Drosophila melanogaster: one gene and its partners. Changing the gene in region 1 together with any one later gene gives a genetic interaction. Each region holds a gene or a part of one and is shown on either strand. Other genes may lie near its edges.

What was found. Genes that interact genetically often act in the same process or in processes that back each other up.
Region 2: of fra (region 1) and Src42A, changing one suppresses a phenotype caused by changing the other (phenotypic suppression), as found in Drosophila melanogaster (one study listed by BioGRID).
Region 3: of fra (region 1) and RhoGEF64C, changing one enhances a phenotype caused by changing the other (phenotypic enhancement), as found in Drosophila melanogaster (one study listed by BioGRID).

What each region holds. Positions count from the first base shown.
Region 1 is NT_033778.4:12,527,402-12,532,060, reverse strand, and holds the start of fra (frazzled), read right to left. Parts: upstream 3,009-4,659; 5' UTR 2,335-3,008; coding exon 2,235-2,334; intron 1-2,234.
Region 2 is NT_033778.4:5,991,050-5,996,000, reverse strand, and holds the start of Src42A (Src oncogene at 42A), read right to left. Parts: upstream 3,010-4,951; 5' UTR 2,624-3,009; intron 1-2,623. UniProt on the Drosophila melanogaster protein: Required directly or indirectly for the phosphorylation of drpr which is necessary for the interaction of drpr with shark and subsequent glial phagocytic activity.
Region 3 is NT_037436.4:4,690,982-4,695,791, forward strand, and holds the start of RhoGEF64C (Rho guanine nucleotide exchange factor at 64C), read left to right. Parts: upstream 1-1,801; 5' UTR 1,802-2,424; intron 2,425-3,223; exon of another isoform or gene 3,224-3,341; coding exon of another isoform or gene 3,342-3,758; exon of another isoform or gene 3,759-3,864; intron 3,865-4,810. Other genes in the region: CG15876 (uncharacterized protein), read right to left, coding at 3,342-3,758.

The sequences.
Region 1 (4,659 bases):
TCCAGGAATATGAAAAGGGGTGCGAAATTAGAATAACATGTCACTCATATATTGTATCACGTAATGCGGCTAAATGTGCTCCTGGCCACGGGAAAAAGCCAGTGAACGCCAGGGTGAGGCGACTCGCCCAGGACAACATCAAACAATTGCCACAATTCACGGGCTAAAGAGCGAGGAAATATGACCAGGAAAGTGAAAACACAGAGCGCCACAAATAAGCACGAAAATGGGAACAGGACCTCGCACGTGAGTTTTTCGTACACGGTATAAGTAGGATCCTTCTATAAAATCAACTAGTTTGTTTAGCAAGATAGAAAAAACCACAAGGGTGTCTTAAGGCCACATAGATCTAAAGATCAAAATAAATTATTAAAATGCTTTTCTATAATTTAATTTAACTAACACGGAAATGTCTAACTTTGTCTTACTTTCATAGTATCTTATCAACCTTAATTGATGCATTATTATACGGTACTAAGTGGTCGTGAAGCCACGTGAGTCCATTGTTGTCACACAATTCTTTTCAGCTAGTTACACCCATGTAAGTAAAGTTGTTTTCTTTTTTTTTTAATTACATACCCACCACATAAAGCTTGAAGTTATGTGAGGGAATGCTTTTAATTAAATCTGGCATTAAGTCCTGCGACTTATGACATGCCATGACCTAAAAATTTGTTCAAAGATTTTTCATTCCATTTGCATATGACATGCCCCGACAATTTTTTACGACCGCACTTTTTTTGGGGTCCTTTTTCGGGCTGTCTTGGAGCTGGCGTTGATAAATTTTGCAGCTGATAAGGCGGCTCCCCGTTTTTCCAGGACACTTTTCACTTTTAGGGGTGGCTTTTCTTTCTCGTTTCGAAGATGGCGCAGAGACGAGATTCACGGCAGGACATTTAATTTGTTTGCATTATTTGCGCCTTTTGCGGGGATTTCCATTATCCCTCCCTCATTTTACGCGATTGTTTATTTCTCCAGCCGAAAATGGAAATATGATAAGCCTCTAAGCCACCCCTGGCTTAGTTTTCAAACCAAATCAATCAATTGATGCATTGTGCAGCTGCCCACCGATCTTGGGTAATCTTCTTCTGGGACCTAAAACTGAAACTGTGCCTGATCCTAAAACCTAATTGCATTTTGGGCTGCACTGGTTCTACCTGCGCTTACCTACCTGATCCCCTAAGATCACTTGTTCCCTGGCTTTGAGCTAATGATAATGACTCTTACGGCTACCATTTTGTTGGATTCTATTTCTTCGATTTCAGAATACTTTTTCACAGGAAATCGTGTTTGTTTTGGCTCAAATAATCGCAAACAAGTGCGTTGGTTTTCAATTCATGTTGTGCAGTGTTTAGTTTATCTCGTTTCAAGCGAAGCTCATTAGTAATGTTTAAGTTTTGAAGCACTATCGGTTTCGCAACCATCCCATTTTGAGTTCTTATCTGCAGGTGATATGATGGGAAGCAATTACGGTGAATTACCCCGGGTGATTGGCACATGTGGATGGAATAGGGCAGGGTTTTTGAAAGTACCTCAATTTTACGAGTGCAAAAAGAGCGCGAGTTGCGAAATATGACAGCTTATCGGATCAGTTCGCCGTTGACATCACCTTTCGCACATGAGGCTTTTTTTTTTTTGTGGGTCCCAATGCCTGCTTTCTGGCACGTCGACCAGACATCCAGTCGCCAAAACTGTACTTGCATTCATATTTGTTAAAATACAGATATCGAACTTTATGGTACCCGAATACACAACATAGATAGGGAATTGTACGAAGAGTAAAGTAACAGATAGTGTCATAAAATATGGTGGATGAGTGTAGTGAACTAAAAATTACTGGGCTGACAAACCACGTAGTTCATCTATTCGTACTATTTAATCGTAATATTTATTGAAGTGATATAAACTCATCTAATCTACCGAATTTATACACTGTTTTAGATTATTTCCTCCTGTCAGAAGGCAATTAAGGCGCAGCCCAAGAATTAAAGTTCAATCACATGTTCATAAAATTTTTTTTATATCTTTTATAATCTCTTTAATAATCTATATATGTACACAATTTGATAATGTCTTTCTGTGTAAGCAACTAAGCTTGGATTTCATGGGTCTTTGGTTTAAAATTATAAATTGACAACCTGCACAGCGAAAGATAGAAACTATCTACATTTTTATAAAGCCCTCTTACGGCACTTTGGTGCAAAATATTTATCATTTCAGATTGAAGTTCTCACCTTGACTTGCCAAACTGCTGCCAATCAGCTGGAATATGAGACAACTGCTGAGCAGCCAGTTCCACAAAGTCCTGCTGCTTCTGTTTGTTGTGATGGCCATATTCTGTTTGCTTTTCGCTGATTTGGCTGGAAACCGTCGTTTGCGATCGGAGGTAATTCGAATGGCTCAGGTTTATTTGGACTTTTGCGATTTGTTTACAACATTTTGGCTCTTGATACCCGCCAATCGCCGATTGCGCCTTCTATTTGTATCCTTTGCACCCACACATACACGCGACGCAAACACTCACACGCGACTTTTACTCACTCCACTTTTGTTGTGTATTCTTGGGCGATTATTGCTTTCGATTCTCTTGTTTTACGCTATTCGCATCAATCGTTTACGCGTTTTTGTTTTGCCGGCATTCGCCGCCTATTGTTGTTGTTTCAGGTCTTGTTGTTGCTGTTATTGCACGCTTGCAAGCGGGGCATTTTTACAACAACAGAAAATACTATCAACAAATTGCGCACACACACTCGAGTAAGTAGCGTTGTCTCGCTCTAACCTTCGGCAGGCATCAGGACTTGCAGCTGCAGTTCTATTTAAAACACATTTTCAGCGGCTGTATGTATTATTTGAGTGCCTTTTTCATTTATTTTCGATTTTGGCTGCACTTATTTTAATTTTCTACCTCTTTGCGATGGATTTTACTATTGGCAAACGCGTTTTCTCGCCACTAAAGAGTATACATGCGCGCAACGACCTCGACGACCGAAAAAAAATCCGAAACTGTCGAAAAAATCCCTAGCTGCGCGGGTGATGCGAAAACACATCCGCTATCGATGCTTATCGATGGTCTCACTACTATCGATGACGATGAAATGACTTTCGCACCATGTTATTCTTGCATATTATAAATTCATTATCATTTTACAAAGGGGTTTCCATAAGTAACGTAGTAATCAGTGCTCAGCTTTCTTACTAACGTAATCATAATATATTTTAATGACTGTCATCGACATTGAAAAGCAATCGATACTGGAGTGCACATCACCAAAAACGCGTTAAGGTCAGTTGAGCAATTTATTCCAAATGGCGCGTAATTCAAAAGTTAGGACCAAAGTCAATTACACATCAAAAGCAACAAACATTATTATTTCGAGGACATTTGCAGTTGGGATATTAATCATATGAATTTATATCGGTATTCAAAAGGTTTGCTCCTATATTTTTAAATATTTTAAAATTTCACATATTTTCGGTTTTACTTTACACAAATTTCTTTTTATGAGAGTCACAGGAGATTAATACTTAAAAATTTTAATGGCTTTCGAAATGTACCTCAACTTTCTCCCCGACTGATCTTGTTCATAAGTACGTTATTTCAGAAAAATCCTTTGACAGAAAACTTTATGCTCAAACCAATGGGAAAATCTCCTGTTTGAAATGCATTTTTTGCAGTTGGCCAGTGATTGCCACCCCCGAGCAACCGACGTGCAGACAGGTTGTGGTTAAAAGTTGTGGCTCTAAAAAAATGCATGTGGCAAAGGAACACTCATTTTAAAAGCGCCGACCAGCAACCAGCAGGAACTTTAAAGGCTGAAAAAATGAACATATCACTTTTCGCCTCGGAGAAATGTGAACGCAATAAAAAATCCGACCAAGGCCGACAAATTGTTGGTTGGGCGTGGGGTGGGGGGCGTGGCGTTGAAATGATAAATTTCACATTAAATGCCAGCGCTTAAGCGAAAGCGTCGTAAAAATAAACGACGGGGTGAAAAAGAAGGGGGAGGCATTTTTTTTTGGACTGGCAGGCCGCAAAAATAAGTGAAATGAAATTCCCTTCATTAGCGTATCATCCGTATGCCCACAAAATGTGGGTCAAGTTTCGAGGACTTGGATCAAATTACCAGAACCGGAGATTTTTCGCTGCTAATTGCAGGTTTTTTAAAAGCAGCACACACATTTCCCCACCAGACGCCACTGCAATTTTCAGTTTTAATTAATCCGAGCTACCGAGTCTTTCGAGTATCCGTATCTGTATGTGCATCCGCATCCCTGTATCTGTTATGCCAGCTTGAAGTTGGGCAACTTCTGGGCACCCACAAAACGCGGCGACTGATGGTGATTTGGATTCTGATTCGGATGTTCTTCCCATTCAAAGCTTTTAGGTGCCGACACGAAAAGGCGCTTAAGTGAATTAAGCCTGTGTGTGGTAATATATAAATTAAGGCATGCACTTCGGACATGGAAATTGCTTAAATATATAAAAGGTTCTCTCGTTTAACTTGGCAAATCCATTGTTCATGGCACTAAAGACTTTCACTGCAAATCGCTTCCTAAGAAAGTTGTTAACTTGGGTAGAACTAATAAAGGCAAAGATTTTAAATCCAGAGCCATTAGGAAGTTCAGAATATTTGCTTAAGTGATACTTCATGAGTTATG
Region 2 (4,951 bases), 6.5 Mb from region 1:
TAACAGCAACGACGTTGTATAAAACCAGTTGAACCCGTCTTGTTTTCGAAAGGCTATTGAAAGCTCTGATGCATATAGTAATCTATATCTTTTAGCAGTTTTTGTCACGAGTCGGACGTCAAGGACTAATACTGTCGTGTACCAAGAAATTATATTTTTATTCCTGTAGTTGAAGATAAAAAGCGGAAATTAGATTCGTTGAAAAGTATATATAAAATGTATATATATATATATATTCTTGATCGAAACATATCCGGGAACATTTTGCTTTATTGAAACAATTTTAAAACCCTGTACCTTTTACAGTCAACATCTAGCGAATTAGACAGCCGTAGGTGGACTTCAGAGGAATCGGTATATGATATTTTAAAAATATCTTTAAAATGTTTTAAAAACATTAGTAGAAAATCGTTGTGTTTTACAATATTTTACACATTCTTACATACGTTAAGTTGTACAAAAAGACCAAAATTGTTCGAGTGTTTTAAAGATTTGTATAGTTTTTGTTACTAACCGAGTATGAACAAAAAGACTACGGTGCGTTTATCCCTGAATAAAAGCTCAACTCACACCGAACTTGTTGACTGACCTATGGTAACCGATTCGAAGCATGGTCATTACAAAATATCGCTCGATGTGTTTTCGGTTGCTTGTGTGGGAGTTTTTTTTTTTTACGGTAACGCGTGCCAAGAAAACTGAACAAGACGAACATAATAACGGGTATAATGAGCTGCAGAGCGAGTGGAATGGAGTGCGATTGGCGAAGTCTTTGTTGTCGTTGTTTCTGAAAGGTAACAATTGCACTCAAAGGTACTACGACCCAAATTGAACCGGTTTAACGTTTTTTATGTTTGTCTGCTTTTTTGTTATTTCCTTCTAGTGCGCCAATCCACAACTAGTAAACCTCGAAAATCAAACACTAACTCTTTCTGTTGCCATTCGACATGATGGTTTTCAGCCAAATCTGTGAGCGAGTCTACGTTGCGTAGCCAAAAAAAAGTGAATCATTGCAAGAGAGCGATAGGAATTAAGAAGCTGTGTGATGCCGTCTAATTTATAGCTTTTGTGCGTACTTTCTCCGTGACTCCAAAAAAATTTAATGCAAATAACATTGTGATTCGCTTGCTGCGCTCCATTAATGTGGAAATCAAAAGTAAGCTATTTGGCCAGCAAAAACATAGCCATTGACCGACAACCTCAACCAACACAACAAAACTTATGGTAAAAAAAAGTTTGGCTTTGATTTTATGACCGTGATTTAGGTCATTGCACAATGGTGACGAGACTTAGTTCCCTTCCACTCATGGAATTCGAATTTATTCGATATGTCGAACTTTTCATATATATTAATATCCGCGACATTCGTGTACTTAATTTAATAAAAAAATTGTTTTTTTAAGAGAGAAACTAAAAGAAATTGAACGTCCTTCACATTCATCAAATATTTTGTGGCGCCAACACTCTTAAAAAAACAAGAGAAAACACCAAAGCGAGTTCTTTGACTAACAAATACCCGTTACTCAAAAAAGAGAAGTGCAAGGACGACGCAAATATTCCAGTAGGAACGTGACTCCGAGATTGCACATATATGCTTTAAAAACCACATTTATTTTATTCCCTTACTGTATTTATTTATTCTAACTGAAAACAAAGTATCGTCAGCGTATGTATAAGAGGTTTTTGGGAAAGTGCACGGTCCACAGTTAATAGCTTAAGTGGCAGGAGCTGAAGAGAGAACCAATGAACTGAAAGGAGTAATTCGAAGGGATCACAATCAGAGGTTACAGCTCGGAATGCCAACAACAAAGAGCGGACCACGAAGCCAGCTACCATAAACAATGAGCTTTTTTGCCTCTCTTTAGCTCATCTGGAGCTCCACACTCAATACCATGAAAGCAATTTTCATGTGTTTTTCAACTGAATATTTTGTATCTGTATCTTTATCTTTTTTCTGCTACCACTGCTGTTGTTAAGCGACTCCGACTGACAGGCATGACTCATGACGCAGGAAATTTACGACCACGGCACAGTGCAGCAAGAGAAGGCTGAAAAGCGATATAAAAGAAGGCCCTAAACTCCGCTAATTCCAAGCCTGAGAGCCAACTTAAATCTTAGCCTAAACGCAAAGAATATGTGCGAAATGGCGCAGTTTGCCCAAGTCACGTAAGTCGAAATTGATATGATTTCTGAGGCCTGGTATGGTGTCTGAAAAAAAAAAACGCCGTGGAAGTGCACAGCAGTGTATAAGAAAGTTCATGTGCACGGAACTGAGCGCTTTAGCACTTACAAAAATGTATCACCCGTTTGGCAAGCCAGTTGTGCATTTTAGCACATAGTAAACGATAAAGTTCGCAACAACTTGAGGACGACTTTGTGGGCTGTCAGGCATTGCATAACCAGATTCGCAGGAATTCTCTTACGAAATAAGCTCGACTTTGTATTCCGCACGGAATACACCGTTCTAATTCCAGCGGCATGCGCCGAGGCAAAGAAAATATGTTTGCATGACCAGCGAAACACACGCGAAACAGTAAAGAAAATAGAAAGTTCTGTTCCCATCTTTTTCTGAGTTCGGATCCACCAGAGGAATGTTCCGCACACTGCAGCTTCCCTGGGCTTGTACCTTTTCCAGTTTTGCTGCTACTGCTGCTCTTGTTACCACTTATCCATATCAAAGTGGGGTTTTACTTGAGGCACTTTTGAACAAAGAAAACACTGACTGTTAGAAGTATGCCAACAACACAAACAGGTCGCGCATGCGCCGCACAGTGCATCTAGTGGCTCTGTGGTGGCTTGTGGATAATAGATTATATAGATTTCATCGGCCCGTGAACGAAAAAACTTGTAAGCGCGGTAGGCGAGCTTTGGCCAAATTCGATTAAGGCATTTAACTCAGATTCGGATTCGATTTCCTATGTGCTGCGTGTACGGGCGCTATTCCGATTTCCGAGCCGTTTTCGTGCGGCTTCCGTTTACACGTCCGTTTTGTGCACCGCTTCGCAGACAACTGATACGTTTATGAAATTTTTATAGAAAGGTTTTAACCGCTTGCCACCGCACCGACACACTCGCACCCGCCGCCTTGGCATCTATGTGTGTGCCATTTGAGCCAAGCTCGCTGCCCGCGTGTTGGCCAACCGTTCCCGCTCTCTCGCTCTTCGATCCATCTTTGTGTGCTTAGTCTCTTTTATCTTGGCCCAGAAGTCCAATGGCTCGTCGAAGAGTGGTCTCGCTCTTCGTCTCCAAGTGCCTCTCTCTTAAGATGCTCCGAGATAAACTGCACAGTTTTGTAATTACGACAACAATTAGTCACAAAGTGCGTTGATTGCAAAGATCAAATCGAGTTGAAAACAATTAACTCGTCGCTGTTACTGACAAAATGTCAGGTTGTATTAATTTGTTCACGTAACCAAAATAACTCAGCACTGTCGCGTCACTGGAAATCAAATTATTTGTTTCTAAATGTCTCCGCTTGGGTTCTTGTGAACGCCATTGAACTCGTCATTGATAAGGTATGCTATGGAACATTGCTGAAATAGAAAATATTAGAGTCTACATCGTGGGAATACTAATGGCTAGTATCCAATCCAGAAGGGACTCGCAGTGGGGACTCGCGCCTGGACATACCATTTAATATTAAGAATATATTAACGAATACCTGGGGATATTTTGCGAAAAGTCGGAGGGCAAAATCTATAAACATAGTCGTTAGTCACTTTGATTTAACACTTGACCAAATATGAGTGTTCCTGAGCTCCCTTATGTAAATAGAAATTCATGTGCACATATAAACACATGTGTTTACGTCGATGGCTCAGATTCTCCGTTTCCCTGACCACAAAACCCTTAAATACTGAAATATTGGGACTTACCTGGAAATAAAAAGTAAACAGAAAGTGTTAAATGTTAACTTTAACGGGTTGTGTAATGCAAAATAAATAAATAAAAGGACACTTTTATAAAAACGTTAGGCAGTATGGCCAATATCACTGAAGTATACGGTTATCTAACTTAGCAGTATATTCTTTTTTCATTTTAAATTAACTTTTACAATATTACAGCACAAAGTCACAGCTTACAGGTCGTATAACTGAAATCAAATCTAGCCACACACCAAACTGTATCGACAAAATGCGATTTCGTCTCCTTCTACTGTCCTAATCTGATTGAAATGTGTGTATTTACCTCTACGTAAATTACGAGTCAATTAATGCCCAGCCAGACTAGGTGAATATTTGCTTCCTGTGCAATTTTACGCTAATTCAAATTCCTATAACATCAACACGTTCACCGTTAGTATATGTAGTCTTTATCGGACGTATCAGCTAAAAATTAACACTATATCACTGAGTCAATTAAAATGTAGTCGTTCGACCTTCCTGGAGAGCGACGACCGAGTCTGTTGTCACTTATGTTTTTTTTTAGCTACTGACAAATTATTAAAACAATTGCCTTCTATTGAGTATTATTGACTTGCCACAAACTCGAATGATTTGTCTACACACACACACACTTCACCTGAGCCGAAAGAAGAACGCTCAACTAAATCGGAACTTCACCACGCATGAACACAGGGAAATATGAATAAATGCCGACACGGCTCTTGCATGTGGCTCTCTAAAACAATTGCCTTCTCTTCGTGGGTTCAACGACATTTTCTGATGTCATGTTCAATAACAATTGCAGCCTATAGTGGCAACGGGAGTAAAATAAAGGATGGCTTGAATTATTAATGAATAATGAATACGGAGGTTCAAAAAATACTAAATTCGCTGCATATGAGCTGAAATTATAATTATTTGGAAAATCGGACCCATTTATTTGCAAACTGTGGTATCATAACTTTTCTTTAATTGTTAAAATATTTATTTGAGTCTTCTCAAATCGCTCTCAACAATCATATTATTGAACATTTTAATTAACCGAAACTCAATATGCGTATACAGAATAA
Region 3 (4,810 bases), on another chromosome or scaffold:
TTTTTATAGTATTAGTATTTGCTTATACAACCAAGTTACATTTTTCAGAGAACAAATAATTTCTCTTCACATCAAAAACAACACGAAGCTTTGATTGTTGCAATCACTCTTAGTACTCGAATATCAATAGTGTTATCGAGGAACATTTGGCAAATTAAGATAAACATACTCAGAATTCCCTAAAACTTGAGGCGTACTTGTGCTAACTTGGCTAACGATGCAAATGTTGTTATCAAGCAGTTTACAACATAAATACTCTAATTATTTATGTGCATAAGTAAAAGTGGGGCAACAGTCTGCAGCAAATGCAACAGCAACAATAACAATGGCACAATGCAATCAAACAATCAGAGACAAGCTCGCTGAACTGAAATGCCAATTGTGAAAATTGTAAATAAATATTTTAACAGACGACGGCAACAACAAGAAGTCGGGAAACTACAATAAATCAGATCATATCGGCGGCCAACTGCTGCGGTTTCAGTTGTGGTAAATATATATATATAGACATATATAGCTATATATGGCAGATCCAGCAGCAGAGCAGCCCTACAAGCGTGGAAGGCATGGGGCAGGAAAAACTGTGAAAAGCTGAAAGAAAAATCGCAAAAAGCAAACGACACAGCGACAACGATGACAATGCTGATAATGGCCCAAGGAGAAGGTGCGGAGGAGCGGCAGCATTATGGTATCCAAAAGAATAGCCTGGAAACCTCAGAAATTTACGCTCAAGCGAAGCGAGCTGAACCAAACTAAGTTGAGGTGAAGCTGTTGCTAAAAGGAAAATGACAATAACAGCTGCAGTTCCAGCGCCCTGTGTGAGAGCCCAGTAATGACAAAAAACTAACTAGCACACTGAAAAAAATGGATAACTTAGCCATAAAGTTCTCGGACATAAAAAATTATTGGGAGCTGGTTGATGAATAAGTACATTTTATTATCTGTGCATATTGATTTACAGCCTTTTCCAATATACGAAAAAACAAACAACAATGTATTTGTGATTTTGTGAAATATGTTTATTATTATTTTGTTTATTATATAAATTAGAAATTATACAGTTTTCTTAATCTTTATGTATTAAAAATGATTGCCTTAATTATCACTTAGGCTCACGTTAAAATATTCTATCAGTGTAAAAAAAAGCGAGGCATTAAGTACCGAACCGTTAAGAAGTCATTCGAAGTTGGATAGACCAAAAAAAGCTGAGGCGTCTCTAAGCCGCCCTGCGAGTGAGCGAGACCGCAGTAGGTGGTAATTTCTGGAGTAAACAGAGCGAATTCAGAGCTAAGTCCGAAAACAAAACTTCGAGTGAGAGCAGTGAGAGCTGCAATCGTAATTGCGCTGGGCTAGAGAGTAAAAGTCTTTGAGCAAACGAGAGCGTCGAGTAGCGAAAGTTAAAGCCGAATCGTAGAGCAGAGATCAAAAGATCTGTCAGATCTAAATAACAGAAAGAACATCCGAAAACCCAAATCTTTCGGGGAAGTGTGTCATCAAAAAATCGATAATAAAATAATTTTGTGCTTTTCTTACTCTCTCGTTTCCTCATAAGTTCAATGCACAATGAAAAAACAGTTATTTTTGGACAATAAATCAACGGCAACAACAGACTAAAGATTCTAAGCACAAATAAAAAAAAACAACGGCCAGAGTCGAAAGACTCAGGCAACGAACTGCGATCATCGGAGATGAAAATAGAGAGAGAGAGAGAGAGCGCGCGCGATCTGCTTCGTTTTTGCTTTTCGAACTCAGAGCGGCGGACTTTTCGAACTCCAAGCTGTCCGGCAGCTGAAACTTTTGGTCATTCGTCAGTTAACCGTCGTGCAGCTCGAAACGCGACGCGATCTGTTGGATATATGCAATCCAACGGTGATATATAAACACGATTCTTCTTCGCCGAAGAACGAACGTTTTGTGTGTGTTTGTGCAGGTGTTAGTGCGCGGTGTGCGTGTTACCATTTGCATTTTGGCTTTTTAGCTTTTAACTCGCTTTTTTCGTTCCATTTCGCCGCGTTGCATTTGCTCGGCGATTGCATTTCTCGGTTTCTTCGCTTTTGGATCGGCTTTCGTTATTTTTGGTTGAGGCCTTAAAATAGCCTTTGCCGTAATTACTGGGCTGGCCGCAAGAAAACGTGTTTGTGTCTAAACTACAGTTACAACCAGAGCAGCCGTCGCAGCTGCATTTCACTCGAATGTGCTTGCCGAAAAGTAGAAAATATAATAAATAAGAAAGAAAGAAGAGAGTGCTCGCTATATAGAAGGAAAAACGTCACTCGGTGTATACGTTCTTCTTCTATTTGTTCGCCTGTTAACATTGTGCTCATAATTTATTGTACCCAGCGATATGCAAATAGAAAGCAACAAATTTGTACAGCAAGTGGAATATTTCAACGTTTAATTTGGGCCCCGAAGAAACCCAAAAAGGTAAGGCAAATGCATTCTAATAAACGAGAAAATAATATAATGCCAACAAACTATAGATATTATCCCCCCCAATGAGCATAAAGCTAATGAGGTAAATTGTGAAAACATCTGAACTGCTTAGAACTTGATTTGGTTAATATATTCATTAGTATACATTTCTCCCGCTGACGATTTGCATATCAGTTGTCTTCGGTCGCAGGTTCATAACTTCTGCTTCTGTTTTGGCTGGCTAAGAAAGCTTCGGTTAGATCATCGCATCTCACGTTTTTCACCGCCGAATAGATCGATATTCCTGCCTCACTGCGAACCCCTAAATAACACTTGCTGCACGATTGAACTTTAAACCGCATTCTTGGCCCGTCTGCTGCCTGGTTTTCTGTTTTTCTTGGCTCTCTCGGTCGGACGCATCTATCACAGATCGGTGAGTGGTGGCCAATTTTCAATGGATCGATGCTGCCTCGCTCCGTGGGAACTCTTGACTCTTGAGCCCCAGAGTTCGGGCCTGGCATTTTGCGGCACACATTTTAGCCCTGGCTAGCTAGCAAAAACAGAGCCAAAAACAGGCTTACAGAACAGGAATTTCCACTCCTACAACAAATCCGCGGACAATTGACATTTTTGTGTAATTGCCACATTTGTTGTTGTAATTTTGGTTTTTTTTTTCGAATTTTCGCAGATTATTGCCTTTTAATAGTGAATTCGTCGGGCTTAGTTCAAATTTAGCAATTTACATATTTAAATGCATTGTTAATAGCCATTGGAAAACATATTAAGTAAATAATAAAACATTTGGCATTTTGCTTTTATATATTTATTTATTGAATAATTTTCTTAAGAAATCTTCATGTTCAATGATTTTTAATCGTCAACAATTAAGGAAACTAGTAAATTTAAAATTGCAATAGATTAAGTTAAACTTAAACGAAGATCTCCGGTCCGAAGATGTCCATCTTGGAGAACTCTCCTGTGGAGGATCGAGGTTTCGGTGGAGTGCATGGCGCCTTGACACTCACAACGGGGGCGGATGTGTTGGCACTAGCATCGACTTTGTTGACGGAGGAGGAGCGTTTGCGTCGCATGTTCTTGAGCTGATCGCGCAGCTGCTCCTTGTAGACGAGCTCCCTCTTGCAGGCCCTCAGATCCTCCATGCTGCAGTGCTTCATGTGGCGGATGGTGCGGGACACCAGTCCATCGATTATGTGAATCTTGGTGCGGGACAGCCGCGTGGGTTCCGCATGACGGCGGGTCAGCTCGCTCTGGTACTGAAAAAGTAGATAGCCCACGCTCGGACGAGCTCCGCGTCGGTGGTTGGCGTTGTTACGTTGGGCTTCCATTTCAGATAGAATAGCTCCTTTGTTGTTTTTTTTTGTATAGACTTCAAAATGCTGGCTGCGACAGGACAAGCTGTGACTGCTTGGCAGCTTGAGCTGTGAATGATGTCCCTACGTGGTTTACCAGGATTATTTATATCTGGGGCGCTTAGCTACCTGTTGACCCGCCGACTGACCTGCTGACTTGTACGAGTCGCGTAATTACCTGAAGTGCTCCGGTAAAACCAGAGATCCTTCCTCCCTTTTTTGATCCCTTGCCAAGTTGACATCTCAGGCCAAAGATACTGTACATCTTCCTTGCACACATGTGGGTAGTGCTCACCTTGCGCGGCATTTGCTGGGGTGGAAATGGTTTATGGCTTGACCTTTTGCTTTAAGATATTTCAGTTGAGCTGGCGCTGAATAAATATGGGGATAAGGAAAAGATTAAAACGGTGACTAAGTGTCTGAGGATTGCGTTCAAATCGTTTTAAGCTTAGATTAGATAACTGGTGGAAAAGTTATCAATGAAATAAATAAAATTTAAGGTAGCAGAAATGCAGCTGAATGAAATTTAAGTAAAAACCCACAAAAATATTTAAAATTAAAATATTTATGTTAAAGTGGTTATGAAGTTTAAAGATATTTTCATATGTTGTTTCATTAACAATTAAATGAAATATATCATTTTGATTTTTTAATTCATTTACGAATAATAAATTGTAAAAAATTAATTTACTCTATGAAATGTAATAACTTTTCTGAAGTCACATGCTTGTTTTTATTGCTTAAGGATTACGCTCAAATTGTACGAAAGTTTGCCTTTTAAGTCCAATCCCACTGCAACTAAATAAATTCCCTCTCAACTCTCGGCAAATGAAAATCATTTATATTTAATGAGTTGCCATGAAGTGATAAATATAATCCCAAAGTGGCACTCGTCTACTCTTACTCCTGTTTTTTTTTTGTGCCCGACAACCAACCCACTTGTGAAGGACTGCGTGTTAAATATTTATTTATGAACGAATGTCTGCGACCTTGTCTTAACCCCCTTGGTCATAAAAGCGATTTACTGT